4 linked regions of the Saccharomyces cerevisiae S288C genome follow. Changing the gene in region 4 together with the main gene of any one other region gives a genetic interaction. Each region holds a gene or a part of one and is shown on either strand. Other genes may lie near its edges. The genes, in order: CDC27, CDC11, HUR1 and MIH1.

Region 1 (6,647 bases), on a different chromosome or scaffold from region 4:
TGATTTGTTCAACAGGATTTCAATGCTATCGCCAGTCAAGTCAAGTTTCGACGAAGAAGAAACGAAACAACCTTCAAAAGCTAGCAGAGCAGTTTTTGACTCAGCACGCAGAAAGTCGTCTTACGGACATTCAAGAGATGCCTCACTTTCTGAAATGAAAAAGCATAGGAGAAACTCTTCTATATTATCTTTTTTTTCTTCAAAAAGTCAGTCTAATCCAACGTCACCAACCAAACAAACTTTCACTATCGATCCCGCAAAGATGACTTCCCATTCTCGTTCTCAGTCGAATTCCTATTCGCATGCAAGATCACAATCTTACTCCCATAGTAGAAAACACTCGTTAGTTACCAGCCCCTTGAAAACTTCTTTAAGCCCTATAAATTCCAAATCCAATATTGCTTTAGCGCATAGCGAAACTCCTACTAGTAGTAATAATAAGGAGGCAGTATCACAACCAAGTGAAGGGAAGCACAAGCACAAGCACAAGCACAAGAGCAAGCACAAACACAAGAACAGTAGCTCCAAAGATGGCTCTTCCGAAGAAAAAAGCAAAAAGAAATTATTTAGTAGCACCAAAGAATCATTTGTAGGAAGCAAGGAATTCAAAAGATCTCCCAGTGAACTTACCCAAAAATCTACCAAATCGATACTTCCCAGGTCGAATGCTAAAAAGCAACAAACATCTGCTTTTACCGAAGGTATACGCTCTATCACAGCAAAGGAATCTATGCAAACTGCGGACTGTTCAGGCTGGATGAGCAAAAAAGGTACCGGTGCTATGGGGACTTGGAAACAACGGTTTTTCACACTTCATGGAACAAGGCTTTCTTATTTTACGAATACCAATGATGAGAAGGAGCGTGGCCTGATAGATATAACGGCACATAGGGTCTTACCTGCCAGTGATGATGATAGGCTCATTTCCTTATACGCTGCGAGCTTAGGAAAAGGAAAATACTGTTTCAAATTGGTCCCTCCGCAACCGGGGTCCAAAAAGGGGCTAACCTTTACAGAACCTCGCGTTCACTATTTTGCAGTTGAGAATAAATCTGAAATGAAGGCATGGCTGTCAGCCATAATAAAGGCCACTATTGATATTGATACAAGCGTCCCTGTCATTAGTTCATATGCCACACCAACGATACCTCTAAGCAAGGCACAGACGCTATTGGAAGAAGCTAGGTTACAAACCCAGTTAAGAGATGCTGAAGAGGAAGAGGGAAGAGATCAATTTGGATGGGATGACACCCAAAATAAAAGAAATTCTAATTATCCAATCGAACAAGATCAATTTGAGACCAGCGATTACCTGGAAAGTTCAGCATTTGAATACCCTGGTGGCAGACTTTGAGAACTGCAATCATTAGTTACTTCTTGACCAACTTAAACACCTTAATAATTAATATTTAATAGAACATAATATAGTGATATAAAGTATATAAAAATAAAAAGTTTACGAATTAATACAATCAAATTAGACACTGATACTATCAAGAAGTACATCGCAGGAACCGCAGACATGATGTCCTCTTCTTTCAAATTACTGGATATATATATTATTATTATTGTTACCATTAACGTTATTATTATTAACTATTACTATTACATTAACTTAAAAATAAATATGAAACAACGAAGAACAAAAAGAATTATGAAAACATTTAACATGTTTCAATTTGTTATGTTTTGGCCAACCTGCGTTTATTCTTGCATATGACATTTTTGTAATTCATCGATGATAACTTGGTTACCCTTTGGATCCAAATTCATAGCAACAGTTAGCTCCTTGATTGCATCTTTTTTCCTCCCAACTATTCTATATGTTTGACCCAGCAAATAATGGGCTGTGGCATCATCAGGAACGAGTTTCACCAATTCTTCAAAAGTTTGCAAAGCAACATTATATCTTGTCATGGAATAGAGCAACTGGCCCATCTTATATTTGGATAGCGAGGAAGTCGGTTGCAAATGACATGCTAGTTCATAATATTGTAGAGCCTTTTCCTTATAGCCCAGCTTTTCTAAAGAACCACCGCAACAACAGATTAACACAACATTGACGGGATTAATTGACCTTGCCTTTTCAAAATATAACAACGCTTCTTCATATTGACCTAATTTCATAGCGCTCGTACCCAATCCGTAATATGCATTGTAATGCTGAGGATCACAAGCTAGCGCCTTTCTATAGCATGTCTTGGCAGAATCCGAAGAATCGTTGGAAGAATGTTCATGACCTTGCAAAGTATACGCGTATGCAAAATTTGGGTCTAACTGAGTAGCTTTTTCGAAGGCTTTTATTGCGGCATCATGATCCTTTTGCAATGATAGCAAATTACCTATACAACACCATGTTTCGGGCTTATTAGGCATTGTATCCATTAGCCCATTTGCCAAATTTGAAGATTTAACCTTGTCATGCAAATGCCACAGCAAAGTAGAAAAAATTTCCATATCTTTTACCCTTGCCGGTTGTAGGTCTTTCAATCTATTGAAATACTTTAAGGACATATCATAATTAATGATCTCAAAATGAAGTTTTCCTAATTGCACTAGACACCATGGCATTGTGTCTTTAATATGAGATGGGATTTGAGACTCGAACAGTCTTATTGCCTTGAACGAATTGTATTGTGATGACGACCTTAATATTAAAGCGAAATTATACATGATTTCAGGCAGCGTAATTGAATAATCACTCGTTAGTATTGAGTTACTGATTATTAAAGACCTTGGATTTTTCTTGGAAGTTGTTAACCTTCCTGTTGAGGAATATAGGTTTCTTGGAGTTTTGAAAGTTGTTTTATTTATAATGTTATTATTATTATTATTATTATTATTATTATTATTATTATTATTATTATTATTATTATTATTATTGTTATTTTGGTGGTTCCTATCGTTATTTAACAGTTTCGATGGAGGAGTCGTTAAAAGTTTGTTTCTGTTATAAACTTTGGCCAACGAGCTTATTGTAGGCTGTTTGGAGGATGGAGACACTAAGTTCATGGAAATGTTATTTGGTAGCGCAGAAGACGTCTTACTGTTGATTGCAGGGTTTTTAGGAGTTTGAGTATTTTTGTTCTGGCAGGTCCTTATTGATGTGTTCGCTTGTTGCTGCTGTGACCTTGAGAAATGCTGAATGGAAGAAAAAGAAGATGCCGATGTAGAAGGGGGAGAATTAGACGACTGAAACAGTGTATTAACATTATTATTGATATTATTATTGCCGTTTTTGTTTGTTTTTGAATATAAGCTAGGTTGTGAACGAGGTTCGAAATGCGATAGTGATGTAGACGGAAACGATGAAGCTGCATTATTATTATGACTATTACTTTTTTTCCCTGCAATGTCGAAAAAAACCCTCTTGAGATCCACGGTAGCTCTCATTTTACAAATCGCTTCGTAAGATTCCCAAAGGTAAGGATTAATGGCTAATGCTTCAGAATGATAAAATGCTCCCTCCTTAGAATGGTCCAGTTTCATATAAAGATTGCCTAACAGGCAATTCAAAGTGGCCAAATCGGGAATATGGACGAGATTAGAATTCAACACCATATTTATGCGCGTATTACTGCTGTTCGAAGAAAATACATTTATTATTGAGAGAAGAGTGAGGATAGCTTCGTTAACTCCCTGCGAAAGCTGTAAAGCACAACGCCCGAATATGTAAGCGATACCAAGATGATACTCCTTGAATTCTTTGGATATCTGGAACGCAGTGTGGTAGCTTTTATTCAGAAACAGCGAAAGTGCATATAAATATACCGCATCGGACCAGTAAACACTTGATTTATCGAGAATGGAGCATTCAGCATAGAGCAGTTCGGCCAAAAACTCTGCGGTACTGTAGTTCAACTGCTGAATAGCCTGCTGAATGCAGTCCTGAAGCTGTATGATGGTGCTCAAAGCTTGATCATCAAAGCTGGGGATTCCTCTCGAGAGGGTGAACGGTGCTAACTCAGGATTTACCGCCATGCTATTTTTATTATGTATCCTGCACGAAAAGTTCGTGTCGATTTATGAATAGATATGCAGTCACCAAAACAGAGTCTAAAACTCTCACAGCTAGGTATGGTTTTTTGATAAACTTTTCTGTGGCACCTTTGCTTGCACTTTGATCCTTTTGGTTTACTTTCAGCCTGTTCCATCCTTTTGATCAAAAAAAAAAAGGAAAATCAAGCGCGGGTAATAACGGCACCATTAAATACTAGTAGTACTATATAGATGGTATAAAGAAATGATTTAAAACAATACGATTATATGATATTTATACATCTGTTTCAGTTGAGCTTTTTTTCCATAGAGCTGGTGGTACGAAGATGGCTTTTGGCGAGGGCGACCGAACCAGATAGCTGCGTCAAGGCCAATAGAAGCAACAGAACAGTATTCAATGCCAACAATAGCGTGCTTGCTTGTGAGTTTGGTGGATAGGAATTCCAGCACCACTCGTGCAAGACGTACCAAATGGGACCAACGAAGAAGGGCATTCCCGACCAAAAGATCAGTATAGGCAAAGTCCAGTGATACCAGGATAGAAACTGGTAGTGGAGGGACCTTGAAAATAGGACGCCGATGAAGTTGGATGCGATTAGAACGAATGGAATAGTCTTGGCGGGATTGGCATTGAGCACTGCATTTTTCCTCAGCGGATGGCACAGGGAAGACCATAAATCGGGCAGGATGCGAGGGTATCTTGTGACGAACAGTGTGGTGAGCGCTATCAGGTGGCTGATTAAAAGGGCCAAGTGGAACCTCTTATCATTGAAAGCCTCTTCATCCATCATTTGCCAATTGATACTCCATTGGTACATAAACTTCCTGCCGAAATTAAAAGCGCAATGCAGGTACTGTTGCGGAAAGCTGCGCAGGAAGGGCACTGCAACTGCGACTTGCCATGCAATCATCGCAACGAGATCCAACAAAGTAAGGATTACGTTCGCGTCATTAAGGATGAATAGAGAAATCATCATTGCAGGGAAATACAACAGCGCATTCATCTTAATGCTCACAGCCATACTGTATGTTGCGGAGATCACCAGCGCAAGGGACTTCTTTAATTTGGGGCGCTGATGGCACCTGCTGGCCACGATAGCCCCCAAAACCGTGACGACCATAAACAAAGTAGTGAAGCAATCATTGAATAACCGTAGCACGTAAATAGAGTGCAATCTTTTAGAGAGGCACGCCAAGACCACACACCACGGTGGTAGATGTAAAAGGTAGTAACACGCCATTTGTAACGCCAGTGTAAGGAGATACAAGTATCTGAAAAACACTTGCCCGCGCTCAACGTGGTCCATTCCCTCTGTTAGCCAGTACATCATCTTGTAGATCAAGACGTGGCCTGCTGGATACACCAGCGGGCCCGTTCCACCACTCACCTGAGAGTAGTCCAGCATGCCATCGAGCTGAATCATCTCGATCTGCTCCATGTACGCCTTGTAATCGATCTCTGTGTAAGCTACCTTCTTAATGATAATCTTGCACAGCATGCTTTCGAACAAAATCAAAAGGGGCATAACGATAAGATTGGCCCTACAATCGAAGATCACGTAGCGCACACCGTCCTTGAGATCCTGCCACAGATCCAGCGGAGGTCTGACAAATTGCTTCCTTTGCAGAGACTTTTCACCTTGCGGAGACTGTTCACCTTCCATACTACTAGTATCTAACTCTTTCTCTCTCCCATACACACTCTATGATACTGTTTTCACTCCCAACTAGTGTACTGCGTTGTTCTTTAAGTTCGATAGCGAAATTTCTTTAGCTTGTTTACAGCACCCAGCAACCGCACACAGAATGTGACGGCAAATGCATTTTACATGGAAGGCTATCTACAAAACAGCAATAAAGAGTCATGTAAGATTGGGAAATCTCTAATGTGACATTCCATACTTGTTGCAACAATTTTGGGATGCTTCTGCGTCGTACGACCCTGTATTTACCTTCTCTAGCTCATCGCTTCCCAGGGTCCACGTTAATTTTTCAATTTTTTCTTGCGTGTCGAAGATTCAGGTCTCGAGAAATTTGTCAAAAATTTTTCACTAGATATTAAGAACTATATACATCGAATAAGATGCCAGCACAGAAGAGATAGGCAATCAGTTTAGATACTACAGACACTATCCAATAGTGCAAAGCAAAAGCAGCATAGAAAAAAGAGAATCCCGTTTCCAGCTTTTTCTCTTTTTCCCATTCGTTTTTCCTGATCTTTTTTTCTGCATCGTGGCACCTAGAACAAGAGGTACCTTCCATCCTTCGCTTAATATTTGATACGACTTTTTTGATTTCCATTATTATTATTTGTTACTATTATTATTTATCATTTGGGTTTCGGTTTTTTGTAATAATTTTCTTTTTTTTTTTTGGCTCTATTTCACTAAGACATCGTATATATGCCAGGCCAGATAATCAGCATTCCGTTTTTGTCGCAGAACGAGGACATGGATAAATACTTGTTGGAGTACCGCAGTTTGAAGCTCCTTCATCAGTCCAGTAATTCCTTCCAGTCTCACAATGCGCCCTCCCACCAGTCGAACTACCACCCCCATTACAATCACATGAAATACAACAACACTGGTAGCTATTACTATTACAACAACAACAATAACAGCAGTGTAAACCCACATAACCAAGCTGGT
Region 2 (3,826 bases), on a different chromosome or scaffold from region 4:
AAGAGGGACGACCAACTAAACGTCAATCTAAGGAATGATCTGAATATTATGAGTTGGACGGGTTCTGGGTTGTGGACTGACACTATTTTCACGTATTTCAATGACTTTATGAGAAGTGGTGTCAGGGAGAAGGTTACATGGAAATTATTCCATAACCTAAATCAACCAAAATTGCTAAGTGATGTTCTGGTCTTTCCAAAATTCTCCTTTAACTGTCCAAACCAAATCGATAATGACGATCCACACAAGAAATTCTATTTCATTACTCATTTGGCATCACAATTTTGGAAAAATACTCCAAAGGTGGAGCAGAAATAAGTACTTCTACGCAGATATAATAAGGAACTTTTTTGTTAATTTTTTTTTGCTGATCGATATTAATACTTTTTAAGAATGAAGAAAAAAAAAAAATAATATACCAGATGTATTTACTTATATACAACACTCACTCTTTATATATATAGAGAAAGAAGAAATAAGTGAGGAAGCCAAAAGCGGACTCATTCTTCCTGTTTGATTTTCGCCTCTTTTTCCAACCTGGCTTCAATTTCTCTTAATTCCTTTTCTCTTTGCAACAGTTCTTGTCTTTTCAACAGCAGTTCTTGCTGAACTCTCTCCTCAAATGCCTTTAGTCGCTCTTCTTCTAACCGTATTTGCTCCTCACGTGTCATGTAGGTTTCGTTATTTTCGCCAGTGCTTTGCCCGTGCATATCGGATGCTGGGTTGAGAACATCGTTATTAATATTATTACTTTGCTTGAAGGGATTTGTGTTTCTCCTTGTTGTGGTGGACGATGACGACGAACCATTCAATTTTGTCAGATTTGGACGTATGGATTCTGCCGCGACAGATTCACCTGATAATGCCTCGGTTCTATATCTTTCATATAATATCTCATGTGTGTAGTTTTTCAAGTCATGTAAATGAGAGATCAATAACGCATTCCTTAAGATAACAAAATCAGAGATCGATGAATCTTCCACGTCCAGTATGCCCCATGGATACTTTCTGCCACGAATTGTCCCAACATCGCCGCCCATTTCGTAAACTTCATTGGATCCAATAATAGCAAAAGGTAGAAGTGTACGTAGGTACATATTGGTTTCGTAATCTTCGTCTGATATTTCATCTTCATCGAAAGGGAAATTATAAATTGGCAAGTTCCATCTGTCGATATCCTCCATGATCAATTTTTTATTCAGTTTCAGTTCATCTCTTGTCAAGGAATCTGATTTGCTGATCACAGGGATGATGTTAACTAAGGATCCCAACTGTCTGATGAATTCCACATCAATCTCTTTTAAACCGTGGCCAGTTGGGTTGATTAAGTAAAGACAACAATGAACTCTGCCGTCCTTAAATCTTGGGTTTCTTCTCACACGACTTTCTTCCAATAAGATTTCATCATATTGGTGGCGAATGTAGTCGGAAATGATTTCGAAAGATGGAGAATTGTCGAGAGAATCACCGAATCCCGGAGTATCGATGATATTAAGTTGAATCTTGACACCTTCATCATCTTCTAATTCGACCGTCTCCTCTCTCAATTGTAAGTCTATTTCTGTGGACGTATCTGTGGGTAACAAGATTGTCGTCGAAGTGTCTACAACTTGCTGACCGCACAAAGTATTTATAAAAGTCGATCTACCAGATCCGGACTGGCCCACGATCATCACAGTGAAGGTTATACCTCTTTTCAAATGCTTTCTTTTTCTTAATGCAGAAGATGCGTCAATTATTCCGGACATGGCTGGTGGTTAGCAACTTTAGGCCTTGTGATGATTGACTTTCTAAACGGCTCCAGATCGGGTCGCCAATACGTGGTGTCTACCTATTTTACTTTTCGATCAAATACTTTTTTGTTTATTTTTCTTTATGTTAGAAGGCGGAAAAATAAAGAATACTGGCGATCCTGCATGGTCGGGTAACGACCCACGAGCATTGTGTTGTGTAAATATAGCCATATTTAAGCTATATTTATCTGTATAACATATACGTGTCCGTATGTGCCCGACCAAATATGTTACTGCGATGAAATGGATTGAGAACGATGTTTAAATGTTATGTTCCATGTTGTGTTTTCCACCAAAAAACCGTGAAGGACAATTCAATGAGCAAAGGGTTTAACGGAGCTATAACCTGCTTTTGTAGATGAAAAAATAGAAAATTCAAATATATATATATATATATATTTATAATAGCATGTTAATTTACAGATATTTGGACTTTTGCAAAGTCAGTAAATACATGGAATAAGAATACTAGTGATTGAATAGAGTACATTTAAACAGATTTATTTATTTCTTTCCTTTGTTGACTCTTTCTTAGAATATGAAAAAAAAAAGGGGCTCCGGTGGTGATGAGGAGAGAATATATATGCATGTATCAATCAAGACCATTTCTAATGACCACCACCACCAATTTCAATGGTTGGTGGGCAACCCAAAGTGCTCTTTAAAGAACCATAAATACCAAATTGCAAGGAGGTCAAGGTACCAACCATGACCAAACGAGTAGGCAACCCAGCAAAGGAACCGAAAAATCCTAACTGTTTGGCCAACTGAGCCAACAAACCGACTGTGGATTGGCCAGGAGCCTTCTTAGTCTTGTTGACCTTGGACAACAGAGTGTCTGCTGGCTGGGAAACAATGGCAGCGGCCAAACCAGCAGTCAAACCGGAAAGCAAATTCAACAAAGTAGTGGAAGTAGAGGACAATTTTTCTTTTGGACCGGCGAACCCGTAGTAGAACTCGGAGGCACGTTCAAAGACCAAGAATTTAGCAATGTTGTAAGGAATTTGCTTGAACAAAATTGGAGTGAACCCACTGTAGAAAGAGCCGATACCTTCTTCTTTCAAAATTCTGGAAAACCCTCCGACGAGTCCATTAGCGAACTGTGGTTGGGAGACCAATCTGATTCTAGTGGCTTCTAGGGGACACAAGGCAATGTCTGCCAAGAATTCGGCCATGGCAGCAGAACCCATGTAAACAGAGTTCTTGTAGCGAGAGGCGGTATCGTAACCCAAGTTGTCAATGAAGAACTTCTTGAACACTTCGTAACCACCGAACTTGAAGGCACCTTGGATAGAGTAACCCAACAAAGTAGGACCAAACCCGGTCAACAACGCACCAGCACCTTCTCCGGCGATGATTTGCTTGAAAGAGCCGACCATACCCTTGTTGTACACGGTAGGTTCCAGTTGGATTCTCGTCTTAACGACATCGATCGGGACCATACTGGAGTGAGTCGACCCGCACCCTATGGCGCCGGCTAGGGCGAATTTCATGTAGTCAGAGACAGAGTACTGTGGAATAGCAGGAGCAGCAGACACAGACATGGTGAGATGAGACTTTTTGATCTTTGTAGTTCTTCTTCTTGCAGATCACTCTGTTCTTTGCGATGGTTCTTGTAGATAAAAAGATCGGGAGGATGGATCGCACTTAAAAATCTTCTCGAAACGGGCCGCGGCCGGGCATGGGACCCGTTCTCGACGCTGATTGGCTAACGATGGTTGGGCAGAGTCTCAGCTGCTGCTTGCTCACATTCGACAAAAGACTAGAGGAAAGCAGTACCATGCTGCGATACTGTTGCATCGCAGCATTCCGCTGTCCAAAAACAATACCTGTTGTATTGTTTGAGGCTGGCAGGCGCTTGGGTAGAAACAACACCCGATACTGGTGACAGGGCTATCTATAAATATTAAAACTTGACTCCGCAATTCGTCGTAAACTGCCTTAACCATCGTAATGGACGCCGTGCAAATGCTTCGACTTTTCCCAGTAGTCAGGCATTGCGCCAGACACTTGTGCTGCTTAATTGTCGTAAT
Region 3 (4,954 bases), on a different chromosome or scaffold from region 4:
TGTAGTTCTGCTTTTTCTCCCCAAAAATTTGATGTATTGGACGTGAAATCATAGGTTTCCTCGAAAGACTTTCCGTTTCTTTTCAATCCTAATGGGGGAGAAGGGCGGTTATCTATTGGCAAAAGTGGATTTCTAAAATCCCTAATGGAAGGTAAATTTTGACTTTCAGGTTGATTGGAGAATCTACGAACTGCTAGCTCTCTATTTAGCAAAGAGTTTTCTTGCATATGAAAGAAGTTTAAATCATTCAAAAGTTCCCCCAAAATTTTGAGCTCATATTCTTCATCCAAGTCAATATCTCTGTATTCCAAGAATTTCTTTTGCATTTGAACTGCGTCGTCAAAAAATGGAACACTTGACAAGCAAATGTCAATCTCTTTTTTAATGTATGTAAGCAAGTTGGTTTTTAGAAAACTCACCTCTAATTGTGTTTTGGTAAACGCTGTTGTGGCAGCTGAATACTCGGTTGGAGCTGAATTTGGCCTCTGTCCCTTGTATGGTGAAGTGGAAATATTCAATTCCATGACCGGTTCCTTTATTTCTTCTAATCCGCTTGTAAAATGAAAGGGCTGCATGTGTTTAGTTTTGTAACCTTCTGTATTACACCAAAAACTTTCCCAATTTTTAAATTGACACTCTTTCAAGCTTGGACTAGAGTCCGGAGCCAGTTTTAAGCCATCATTAAAATCGTCCGTGTGTTCAGATCTTTCGTGTATATCTTTATTTTCATGGAATATGTTGCTTGCAGTCCCCATTTTAGATGACTTTTCTTCATCTTTTTGGGACTTCTGTTTTACTGGACTATTTCTTTTACTTTCCTTACTAGTATTGCCATCTTCTTGAGAATCCATGTTAGGATACGCAGGCAAATCTGAATGGATGTTATTTGGAAAGTTTTCCTTTTCTAATCCATTTAAAAGAGTGCCAGCTCCCATCACTCAACCAATTCAGCTCTTTCCTTGCCAATACAACATAACCGGGAAGAGTTTCAAGTTTGACTTCCAACTAAATACCTAATGTTTTATTGTTGTTATTTATATTTCTTGTGACACAAAAGAGAACATTGATGTCATTTGAGCCTTATCGTTGGAAAGGATAAATAAGCGGTTTAAAAGGATAAAAGAAGCGCAAGCAACAAATCTCAACACAAGTGTAAACCATATGAATGGGGTTAAATGCCTTCTTCTTTGAGATATAAAAAGGAAGTAGAATTTAATATATTAGACATTTTTTTGATTTGAGCCTAAAAAAGATAGCCCTGTAGGGGGCTCGAACCCCTAACCTTATGATTAAGAGTCATACGCGCTACCGATTGCGCCAACAAGGCTATTTCGTTGAAAAATTCAGGCTTCAAAATTATTATATGTATCAAAAATATTTTTTTGAGAAATTTCAAATCATTATCTACGCTAGCCTTACTATTTTTTCACCCAGAAGATAGTAACCTCATCGCACATACCTATTGAAGCTGATAATATTTGAAGCGAGAGCTTTATTCTTCTCCTCAAATTTTTTTTTTCTTCTGCGCTGTTAACTTACCACTAAACCTGTTTCCATTTTTAATGGTAGTCCTGTTTATTATTCCATTTTTAGAATTGTATGTACCTTGGACGACATTTTTTGGCAATGACATCGAAAGCACTGTTTGATACCAAGATCTTAAAAGTTAACCCGCTATCAATCATTTTCTCCCCTGATGCGCATATAGATGGTTCCTTACCAACGATAACAGATCCTGAAACGGAAGCAGCGCTAGTTGAAGCGGCGAGGATAATAAGAGATACAGATGAGACTGTGGCTTTTCCAACCGAAACTGTTTATGGTCTTGGAGGTTCTGCTTTAAATGATAATTCAGTGCTTAGTATATACAGGGCCAAAAATAGGCCTAGTGACAATCCTTTGATTACACATGTTTCATCCATTGATCAACTTAACAGAAAGGTCTTTAATCAACCGCATCTATCAGGTACATCCTTGTTTGATAACATACCCTCAATCTATCGCCCATTAATTTCAAGCCTTTGGCCTGGCCCATTAACAATTCTTTTGCCAGTTCCATCTTCAGAGCATAGTGCATTATCAAAGTTAACGACCGCAGATCAGCCTACGTTTGCGGTACGCATACCCGCTAATCCAGTGGCTAGAGCACTGATTGCCCTGAGCGATACACCAATAGCTGCTCCTTCAGCGAATGCGTCTACTAGGCCATCTCCTACTTTAGCGTCTCATGTTTATCATGATCTAAAGGATAAAATTCCCATAATTCTTGATGGCGGAGCGTGCAAGGTTGGTGTAGAAAGTACTGTTGTTGATGGGTTATGTAATCCTCCTACGCTACTGCGACCTGGCGGTTTTACATATGAAGAAATTGTTAAATTGGGTGGTGAAGCTTGGTCTCTTTGTAAAGTTGAGAATAAGAAAACAGTTGAAAAGGGCGAAAAGGTAAGAACGCCTGGTATGAAGTATAGACACTATTCCCCTTCAGCTAAAGTTGTTTTACTAGTTCCTCATTGCGAAGGCGATGGCATTCTTAAGGGCGTTGATAGGATGGAAAGATTAAAGAGGTTAATCGAAACGGAATTAAAAGCCAACAGTAATATAAAAAAAATTGCGATTTTAACTTCCCTAAAATTACGTGATTCCGACTTACAATCTAAGATCTTTAATGAACCCGATTTTTCTTCGAAAACTTTCATCATCGAAAGACTTGGCCAATCTGGTGAAGAAATACAGACTAACTTGTTTGCAGCTTTAAGAAAAGTGGATGAAAATGATAAAGTAGACCTAATATTTGTCGAAGGTATAAATGAGGAAGGAGAAGGATTAGCTGTTATGAACAGATTGCGAAAGGCGGCTGCAAATAATTGTATACAGTTTTAAATAAAACTGTGATTAACTTTTGAAAATCATAACCACTGATTACGGAGATTTTATATCTAGTCCGGAAAAAGAAGGAAAGAATAAAATTTTATATTGCTTTGTATATACGAAAAGTCGCCCATACATGTTTATCTTAGTATCCGTTGTAAATATATGTACATATATACATCTACATATGTTCCCATTAATTAGTACATTTACCTCAATAGGGTTGGGCGTCCTCATGAAAGATAAAGGGAAGGAAGGAAAAACGATAAAAGCACAAAATGTGACATATCAAACATTTGAGAAATACGTTGAGTCTTCTTCATTCTTTTTCCTCGTCCACAATTTTCTCAATTCATCAACGATGAAAACGCTACTGCTGATGAGCAATAACAATAGTATATCAGAGATACCAAGTTTCTCAGTTTTAAAGATACTTTGGAAAAATGGTATATATATAGCGCACATTTGACCTAACAGAGACAGTCCAACGGCGTAGTTGAACATTTTGTTCGTGAAAAAGCCGATTTCGAAGATTGACTTTGTGTTATGTCTGCAGGCCAAAGCATTAAACATATCAAAAAAAACAAAACAAGTAAATGTCATAGTAGTATCTCTAGCAGTTACTTTACCATCTTCGGCCATCTCTTTAACAAAAATGTAAACTGTCCCAACGATGATACAGGCCGCGGTGGTTAGTAAACGTTTCATTACATCATGGGTCAAAATTTTATCGGTACGTTTTCTTGGAGGTTTTTTCATAACTTCATGATCAACAGGTTCCACACCTAAGGATTGAGCTGGTGGCCCATCCATTAAAATATTTATCCAAAGAATTTGCATTGCGTTCAGTGGATTGGGTAGTTTAAACGCTGTAGATAGTGCAACTAATGATAGTGCGGCAACAGAAGTAGACAATTGAAAAGTCAGGAAATTCTGAATATTATTAAAGATACCTTTACCCTCTTCAATGGCAGTTAAAATAGTACTGAAGTCATCATCAGTTAAGACCATATCTGAGGCTTCTTTGGCTACATCTGTACCAATTCTACCCATAGAAACACCAATATCTGAAAGTTTCAACGCAGGAGCGTCGTTAACACCATCACCAGTCATTGCTACCACATCACCCCTCTTTCTTAATGCACGAACAATGTTTAACTTATGCTCAGGCGTAGCACGAGCAAAAATATTAACGTGGTCGATGACATTGGCCAGTTGATCATCTGACATTTCATCTAATTTATCACCGGATAAAACGGAAAGCTTTGGATCAATAACTGGAATACCAATTTGTTTTGCAATGTTTACTGCGGTATTCTCAGAATCACCAGTGATCATAATAATATGGACACCACCTTGTAGTAATTGTTCGATGGCAAATTTAACGTTCGGTCTTGGTGGGTCATTCATACCGATTAAACCAGTAAAGGTTAAATCTTTGATTAGGTCTTCGGTTAGAGGAGTTGATGAATCAGACAAAGTTAGTTTAGCAAATCCAAAGACACGCAAACCTTCAGATGCCATAGAATTTGCGCACTCATTTATCGTAGCTTTTTGGGCTTCAGTCAACTTTTCAGTTTTTTTACCCTTTGATTTCAAATAACTTGTGGAGTACTCAAGAATTCTTTCAAATGCACCTTTAACATAAACTGTACACTTATTGTCGACAGGGTTGAGAATCTTGGTTGCCATTAATTTTCTTTTCGAGTTAAATGGAAGTTCCTGAACTTTTTGAACGGTGTTTCTGATATCAGGCATTTCAAAGTTTGCCAATTGCTCTAAAAGAGCTACATCAGTAGGATTTCCCAGAAATATGGCATGTTCTTGAGAGAAAGATGCATTATTACAGAGATTACCGATAGTTAGAGTTTCCCTAACGTCTTCAGTCAAATAGTTTTTCAAATTTCCATTAGAATTTTTAGTCTTCTTATTTTTGTCTAATGAGAGGACGTTTAGCTTATTGGACATACTGTCCAAGCACCAAAGTTTAGATACGGTCATGTGGTTTGAGGTTAGTGTACCTGTTTTGTCGGAGCAGATAACGTTGACAGAGCCTAAAGTTTCGACACTTGGTAACCTTCTCACG
Region 4 (6,409 bases):
CATACGCCAAGAGGCTACCTTTTTTTCTTTGGTTTTATTTGCTTTATTTTTTCTTTCTTTTTTCAACTTTTATTGCTCATAGAAGAACTAGATCTAAAATGACGGTCGACCATGATTTCAATAGCGAAGATATTTTATTCCCCATAGAAAGCATGAGTAGTATACAATACGTGGAGAATAATAACCCAAATAATATTAACAACGATGTTATCCCGTATTCTCTAGATATCAAAAACACTGTCTTAGATAGTGCGGATCTCAATGACATTCAAAATCAAGAAACTTCACTGAATTTGGGGCTTCCTCCACTATCTTTCGACTCTCCACTGCCCGTAACGGAAACGATACCATCCACTACCGATAACAGCTTGCATTTGAAAGCTGATAGCAACAAAAATCGCGATGCAAGAACTATTGAAAATGATAGTGAAATTAAGAGTACTAATAATGCTAGTGGCTCTGGGGCAAATCAATACACAACTCTTACTTCACCTTATCCTATGAACGACATTTTGTACAACATGAACAATCCGTTACAATCACCGTCACCTTCATCGGTACCTCAAAATCCGACTATAAATCCTCCCATAAATACAGCAAGTAACGAAACTAATTTATCGCCTCAAACTTCAAATGGTAATGAAACTCTTATATCTCCTCGAGCCCAACAACATACGTCCATTAAAGATAATCGTCTGTCCTTACCTAATGGTGCTAATTCGAATCTTTTCATTGACACTAACCCAAACAATTTGAACGAAAAACTAAGAAATCAATTGAACTCAGATACAAATTCATATTCTAACTCCATTTCTAATTCAAACTCCAATTCTACGGGTAATTTAAATTCCAGTTATTTTAATTCACTGAACATAGACTCCATGCTAGATGATTACGTTTCTAGTGATCTCTTATTGAATGATGATGATGATGACACTAATTTATCACGCCGAAGATTTAGCGACGTTATAACAAACCAATTTCCGTCAATGACAAATTCGAGGAATTCTATTTCTCACTCTTTGGACCTTTGGAACCATCCGAAAATTAATCCAAGCAATAGAAATACAAATCTCAATATCACTACTAATTCTACCTCAAGTTCCAATGCAAGTCCGAATACCACTACTATGAACGCAAATGCAGACTCAAATATTGCTGGCAACCCGAAAAACAATGACGCTACCATAGACAATGAGTTGACACAGATTCTTAACGAATATAATATGAACTTCAACGATAATTTGGGCACATCCACTTCTGGCAAGAACAAATCTGCTTGCCCAAGTTCTTTTGATGCCAATGCTATGACAAAGATAAATCCAAGTCAGCAATTACAGCAACAGCTAAACCGAGTTCAACACAAGCAGCTCACCTCGTCACATAATAACAGTAGCACTAACATGAAATCCTTCAACAGCGATCTTTATTCAAGAAGGCAAAGAGCTTCTTTACCCATAATCGATGATTCACTAAGCTACGACCTGGTTAATAAGCAGGATGAAGACCCCAAGAACGATATGCTGCCGAATTCAAATTTGAGTTCATCTCAACAATTTATCAAACCGTCTATGATTCTTTCAGACAATGCGTCCGTTATTGCGAAAGTGGCGACTACAGGCTTGAGTAATGATATGCCATTTTTGACAGAGGAAGGTGAACAAAATGCTAATTCTACTCCAAATTTCGATCTTTCCATCACTCAAATGAATATGGCTCCATTATCGCCTGCATCATCATCCTCCACGTCTCTTGCAACAAATCATTTCTATCACCATTTCCCACAGCAGGGTCACCATACCATGAACTCTAAAATCGGTTCTTCCCTTCGGAGGCGGAAGTCTGCTGTGCCTTTGATGGGTACGGTGCCGCTTACAAATCAACAAAATAATATAAGCAGTAGTAGTGTCAACTCAACTGGCAATGGTGCTGGGGTTACGAAGGAAAGAAGGCCAAGTTACAGGAGAAAATCAATGACACCGTCCAGAAGATCAAGTGTCGTAATAGAATCAACAAAGGAACTCGAGGAGAAACCGTTCCACTGTCACATTTGTCCCAAGAGCTTTAAGCGCAGCGAACATTTGAAAAGGCATGTGAGATCTGTTCACTCTAACGAACGACCATTTGCTTGTCACATATGCGATAAGAAATTTAGTAGAAGCGATAATTTGTCGCAACACATCAAGACTCATAAAAAACATGGAGACATTTAATAGACCCCATTTTTTTAATTCGATAGATCTTTCTTCATAAGATAATTCTGTTCAATGACTTATGAAGCTTACGGCTTATTGTTATTATTATCATGATTCTTTGCCATTTTTCCGGTACCTTCACATTTTGAAGGAATTCAGTTCCCCCGCCTGTAACAACTTAGATACACGTAGATAAAAATTAATATAGCCAAAATATTTGGTATGATAGGGTATAGTATAATATAATTAATACAATATAATATAATATAGTACAGTACAGTATAATATTGTATAATATCATATGGCACCGTAATATCATATATATATCCGTACAGTTTAATGAATTCCGTGCGCATTATGCTGTGCAATATGCCTGTCAGTTTGAAAATCGAAGATACCACATCGTACAAAAGCAAGAGGGGTGCCCCTAATGGGAGAAGATTACCGTTTTTATTTTGGGGTAGCTAACTGCGCCACAAATAGTATCTACCAGTTTGCTACTTTTAGAACTGTATTATGTATCTTTGCCGAATACTTAATTTCCTAGGCCTCATTTTCAGGACTAAGGATGAAGAGGGGCTTCAATGTTTTATATGGCGCTTTTTCTGTCCATTGTATACGTCAAAAAAGCATAGATACTCCACTTATTAGCGGTAAAGCCCTTTTTGATACATTGTTCCGGCGTTTAAATATTCTCATTATGATATTTCCCCAACAGTTACACTCTGTTATTTCCTTCTTTTTTATGCTTTATCTGTTTTTTCCCTGTTTCGATGCCGTATATCAGAAAACTTAAAGTTACAAGCGAAAACAAAGAAAAGAGAGTTAACTTGAAAGGAGACAAAAGATAAACAGAGCAGTGGACAAACCAGGATTGAAGTCAGCGAGGGTGAAGAAACCATGAACAATATATTTCATGGAACTGAAGATGAATGTGCCAATGAAGACGTTCTTAGTTTCCAAAAAATTTCCTTGAAAAGTCCCTTTGGTAAGAAGAAGAACATATTTAGAAATGTTCAGACCTTCTTTAAGTCAAAAAGCAAACATTCGAATGTCGACGATGATTTAATCAATAAAGAGAATCTTGCCTTTGATAAATCTCCATTGTTAACAAATCACAGGAGTAAGGAAATTGATGGTCCTTCACCGAATATAAAGCAGCTTGGCCATCGCGATGAGTTAGATGAAAATGAAAATGAAAATGATGATATAGTCTTAAGCATGCATTTTGCTTCTCAAACCTTACAAAGTCCAACAAGAAACTCATCAAGAAGATCTTTGACCAATAATAGGGATAATGATCTTTTAAGTAGAATCAAGTATCCTGGCAGTCCCCAGAGGTCGAGCTCTTTTTCAAGGTCAAGGTCCTTGTCGAGAAAGCCAAGCATGAATAGCAGTAGCAATTCAAGCAGGAGGGTGCAACGGCAAGATGGGAAAATTCCGAGGTCATCGAGAAAAAGTTCACAGAAATTTTCTAACATTACTCAGAATACTTTGAACTTCACGTCTGCGTCATCCAGTCCACTAGCTCCTAATTCGGTAGGGGTGAAATGTTTTGAATCATGCCTAGCCAAAACACAGATACCATATTATTATGACGATCGTAACTCAAATGACTTTTTCCCTCGAATTTCTCCAGAAACGTTGAAAAATATTCTGCAGAATAATATGTGCGAGTCATTTTATAATTCATGTCGTATTATAGATTGTCGGTTTGAATACGAATATACTGGCGGCCACATAATAAACTCCGTTAACATACACTCGAGAGATGAGTTAGAGTACGAATTTATCCATAAAGTTTTGCATAGCGATACTAGCAACAACAACACTCTACCAACTCTTTTAATTATCCATTGCGAATTTAGTTCCCACCGGGGACCTTCATTGGCCTCTCATTTGAGAAATTGTGATCGTATAATAAATCAGGATCATTATCCCAAATTATTCTATCCCGACATATTGATATTGGATGGCGGATACAAAGCTGTTTTTGACAATTTTCCTGAACTATGTTATCCACGTCAGTACGTGGGAATGAACTCACAAGAAAATTTGCTGAATTGTGAACAAGAAATGGATAAGTTTAGGAGAGAATCTAAAAGATTTGCTACTAAAAATAATTCTTTTAGAAAACTAGCTTCCCCTTCAAATCCTAACTTCTTTTATAGAGATAGCCATCAATCTTCAACAACAATGGCATCTTCTGCACTATCGTTCAGGTTTGAGCCGCCTCCGAAGCTGTCATTAAACCACAGAAGAGTCTCTAGTGGTTCATCATTAAATTCAAGTGAGAGTACAGGCGACGAAAATTTCTTCCCCATCTTAAGTAAGTCGTCTATGAGTAGTAACAGTAACCTAAGCACTTCACATATGCTACTAATGGACGGACTGGATACCCCATCATATTTTAGTTTCGAAGATGAGAGAGGCAATCATCAGCAAGTAAGTGGAGATGAAGAGCAAGACGGAGATTTTACTTTCGTTGGTTCCGACCGAGAAGATTTACCCAGGCCCGCAAGAAGATCGTTATTCCCTTCTCTAGAGACTGAAGATAAAAAATGATACTACATGTGCATGAAGTATTATGAAAAAAAGAAGTATATATTCAGGAACCGAACGGCAACAACATCAATACATAAATCACAATCATCTATATTTATTGCATTAGATTAATCACATAATATAAAAAATTTGCATTTGAATACCGGGGTCACTTCTAAATTCATAAAAATAAGCTGATTTTCATTCTAAAATGGCTCTTTTGCTAATGCAGTCTCTACCGGTACTCAGTTTGAGATCCGTTCCCCACCTGGAGGGTGGCCAAACAATTGTTATAGCTTTCCCTATGACCAACCCACTGGAAATGGGGCCAAAAGTATTGCTATCAATCGAATGAAAATAATTGTCCCCTTCGACCCATATGTGTCCCCTGGGCAGGTTCACTTGAGGTTTAGGGTATGGAAACTTCGTGTCAATGGTATCAAACGGTAAACCTTTAACCCTTTTGCAGTAAACTTTCCGAGGGTTTGTAGGAGCTTTGAAAAGGATAATGTCATCTCTAGATAAATTACTTGGGTTCTTGACTCCAAACTTCCAAAGCAGCACCCAATCTGTTGCCAGCGTTTCCGTTTGCGGGTTCAGCGTAGGCTGCATAGAGGTACCTTTAACTTGCGCAATATGGACCACATTATTATTGATTGTTAGAAGTACCGGAACCCATGAAATTGCTATTAGTGTGTTTCGTAAGAATCTTTTTGATGATCCGGCTCGAAACATTACTGTACAGTACAATGCAACAGCTTCATGAATAGCAGCACGCCTTCGTTAACAAGCACCCATCTAGTCATTCAATTAAGGCACTTGTTTTTTCCATTTTTTTCAGTAGCTCGGAACTTAGCCTCGCTCTCCTTCCGAGCTTGATCTTCCACAGTATTTCGATGACATTGGTCTACCCGTAAGTCTGAGCTCCAACGAACAGCCAGAAGCTAAGAAAGCATAAAAAAGAACCGAACCACTTTAAAATCTAGCAAATTTTAACCTTCAATTATATAAAGAGAGATTTATAGCTTTTTATTGCCTGAAACCGTCTATGCTACCTGAATCACCTTCGCACCCTTTTCTACGATATATCCCAACTCTGACATAACTTGCAAAAAGAAGGAAGACACACATTTAATACACCTACTTAGTGCCAAATGAAGACTCAGTACTCTCTAATACGAAAAATTTGGGCACATTCAGTAACAGAATTTCTGAAATCCCAGTGGTTTTTCATCTGTTTGGCTATTTTAATCGTTATTGCAAGATTTGCTCCGAATTTTGCAAGAGACGGAGGGTTAATTAAAGGCCAATATAGTATTGGGTACGGCTGCGTCGCCTGGATTTTTCTCCAAAGTGGCCTGGGAATGAAATCAAGGTCACTAATGGCAAATATGTTAAATTGGAGAGCTCATGCCACTATTCTGGTTCTGAGTTTCCTTATTACCTCGTCCATAGTATATGGATTTTGTTGCGCGGTAAAGGCTGCTAATGATCCGAAAATAGATGACTGGGTACTTATCGGTCTAATTTTGACTGCCACTTGTCCAACAACCGTGGCTTCAAACGTTATCATGACTACGAATGCAGGTGGAAATAGCCTTTTGTGCGTTTGTGAAGTATTCATTGGAAATTTGTTGGGTGCGTTTATTACACCTGCATTGGTTCAAATG

Evidence for each region.
Region 1: mutations in MIH1 (region 4) and CDC27 together harm fitness more than expected from each alone (negative genetic interaction), as found in Saccharomyces cerevisiae (3 studies listed by BioGRID).
Region 2: mutations in MIH1 (region 4) and CDC11 together harm fitness more than expected from each alone (negative genetic interaction), as found in Saccharomyces cerevisiae (4 studies listed by BioGRID, with this or other methods).
Region 3: mutations in MIH1 (region 4) and HUR1 together harm fitness more than expected from each alone (negative genetic interaction), as found in Saccharomyces cerevisiae (2 studies listed by BioGRID).

The regions. Positions count from the first base shown.
Region 1 is NC_001134.8:65,465-72,111, forward strand, and holds CDC27 (anaphase promoting complex subunit CDC27), read right to left. Parts: upstream 3,982-6,647; coding exon 1,705-3,981; downstream 1-1,704. Other genes in the region: BOI1 (Boi1p), read left to right, coding at 1-1,354; ALG3 (dolichyl-P-Man:Man(5)GlcNAc(2)-PP-dolichol alpha-1,3-mannosyltransferase), read right to left, coding at 4,287-5,663; YBL081W (uncharacterized protein), read left to right, coding at 6,402-6,647. UniProt on the Saccharomyces cerevisiae protein: Component of the anaphase promoting complex/cyclosome (APC/C), a cell cycle-regulated E3 ubiquitin-protein ligase complex that controls progression through mitosis and the G1 phase of the cell cycle.
Region 2 is NC_001142.9:574,854-578,679, forward strand, and holds CDC11 (septin CDC11), read right to left. Parts: upstream 1,749-3,826; coding exon 501-1,748; downstream 1-500. Other genes in the region: HOC1 (alpha-1,6-mannosyltransferase), read left to right, coding at 1-318; MIR1 (Mir1p), read right to left, coding at 2,402-3,337. UniProt on the Saccharomyces cerevisiae protein: Septins are GTPases involved in cytokinesis that assemble early in the cell cycle as a patch at the incipient bud site and form a ring approximate 15 minutes before bud emergence, which transforms into an hour-glass shaped collar of cortical filaments that spans both sides of the mother-bud neck.
Region 3 is NC_001139.9:184,460-189,413, forward strand, and holds HUR1 (Hur1p), read left to right. Parts: upstream 1-3,004; coding exon 3,005-3,337; downstream 3,338-4,954. Other genes in the region: SPO74 (Spo74p), read right to left, coding at 1-935; SUA5 (threonylcarbamoyladenylate synthase), read left to right, coding at 1,600-2,880; Ca(2+)/Mn(2+)-transporting P-type ATPase PMR1, read right to left, coding at 3,157-4,954.
Region 4 is NC_001145.3:340,207-346,615, reverse strand, and holds MIH1 (putative tyrosine protein phosphatase MIH1), read left to right. Parts: upstream 1-3,095; coding exon 3,096-4,760; downstream 4,761-6,409. Other genes in the region: stress-responsive transcriptional activator MSN2, read left to right, coding at 99-2,213; IMP2 (endopeptidase catalytic subunit), read right to left, coding at 4,941-5,474; RCH1 (Rch1p), read left to right, coding at 5,894-6,409.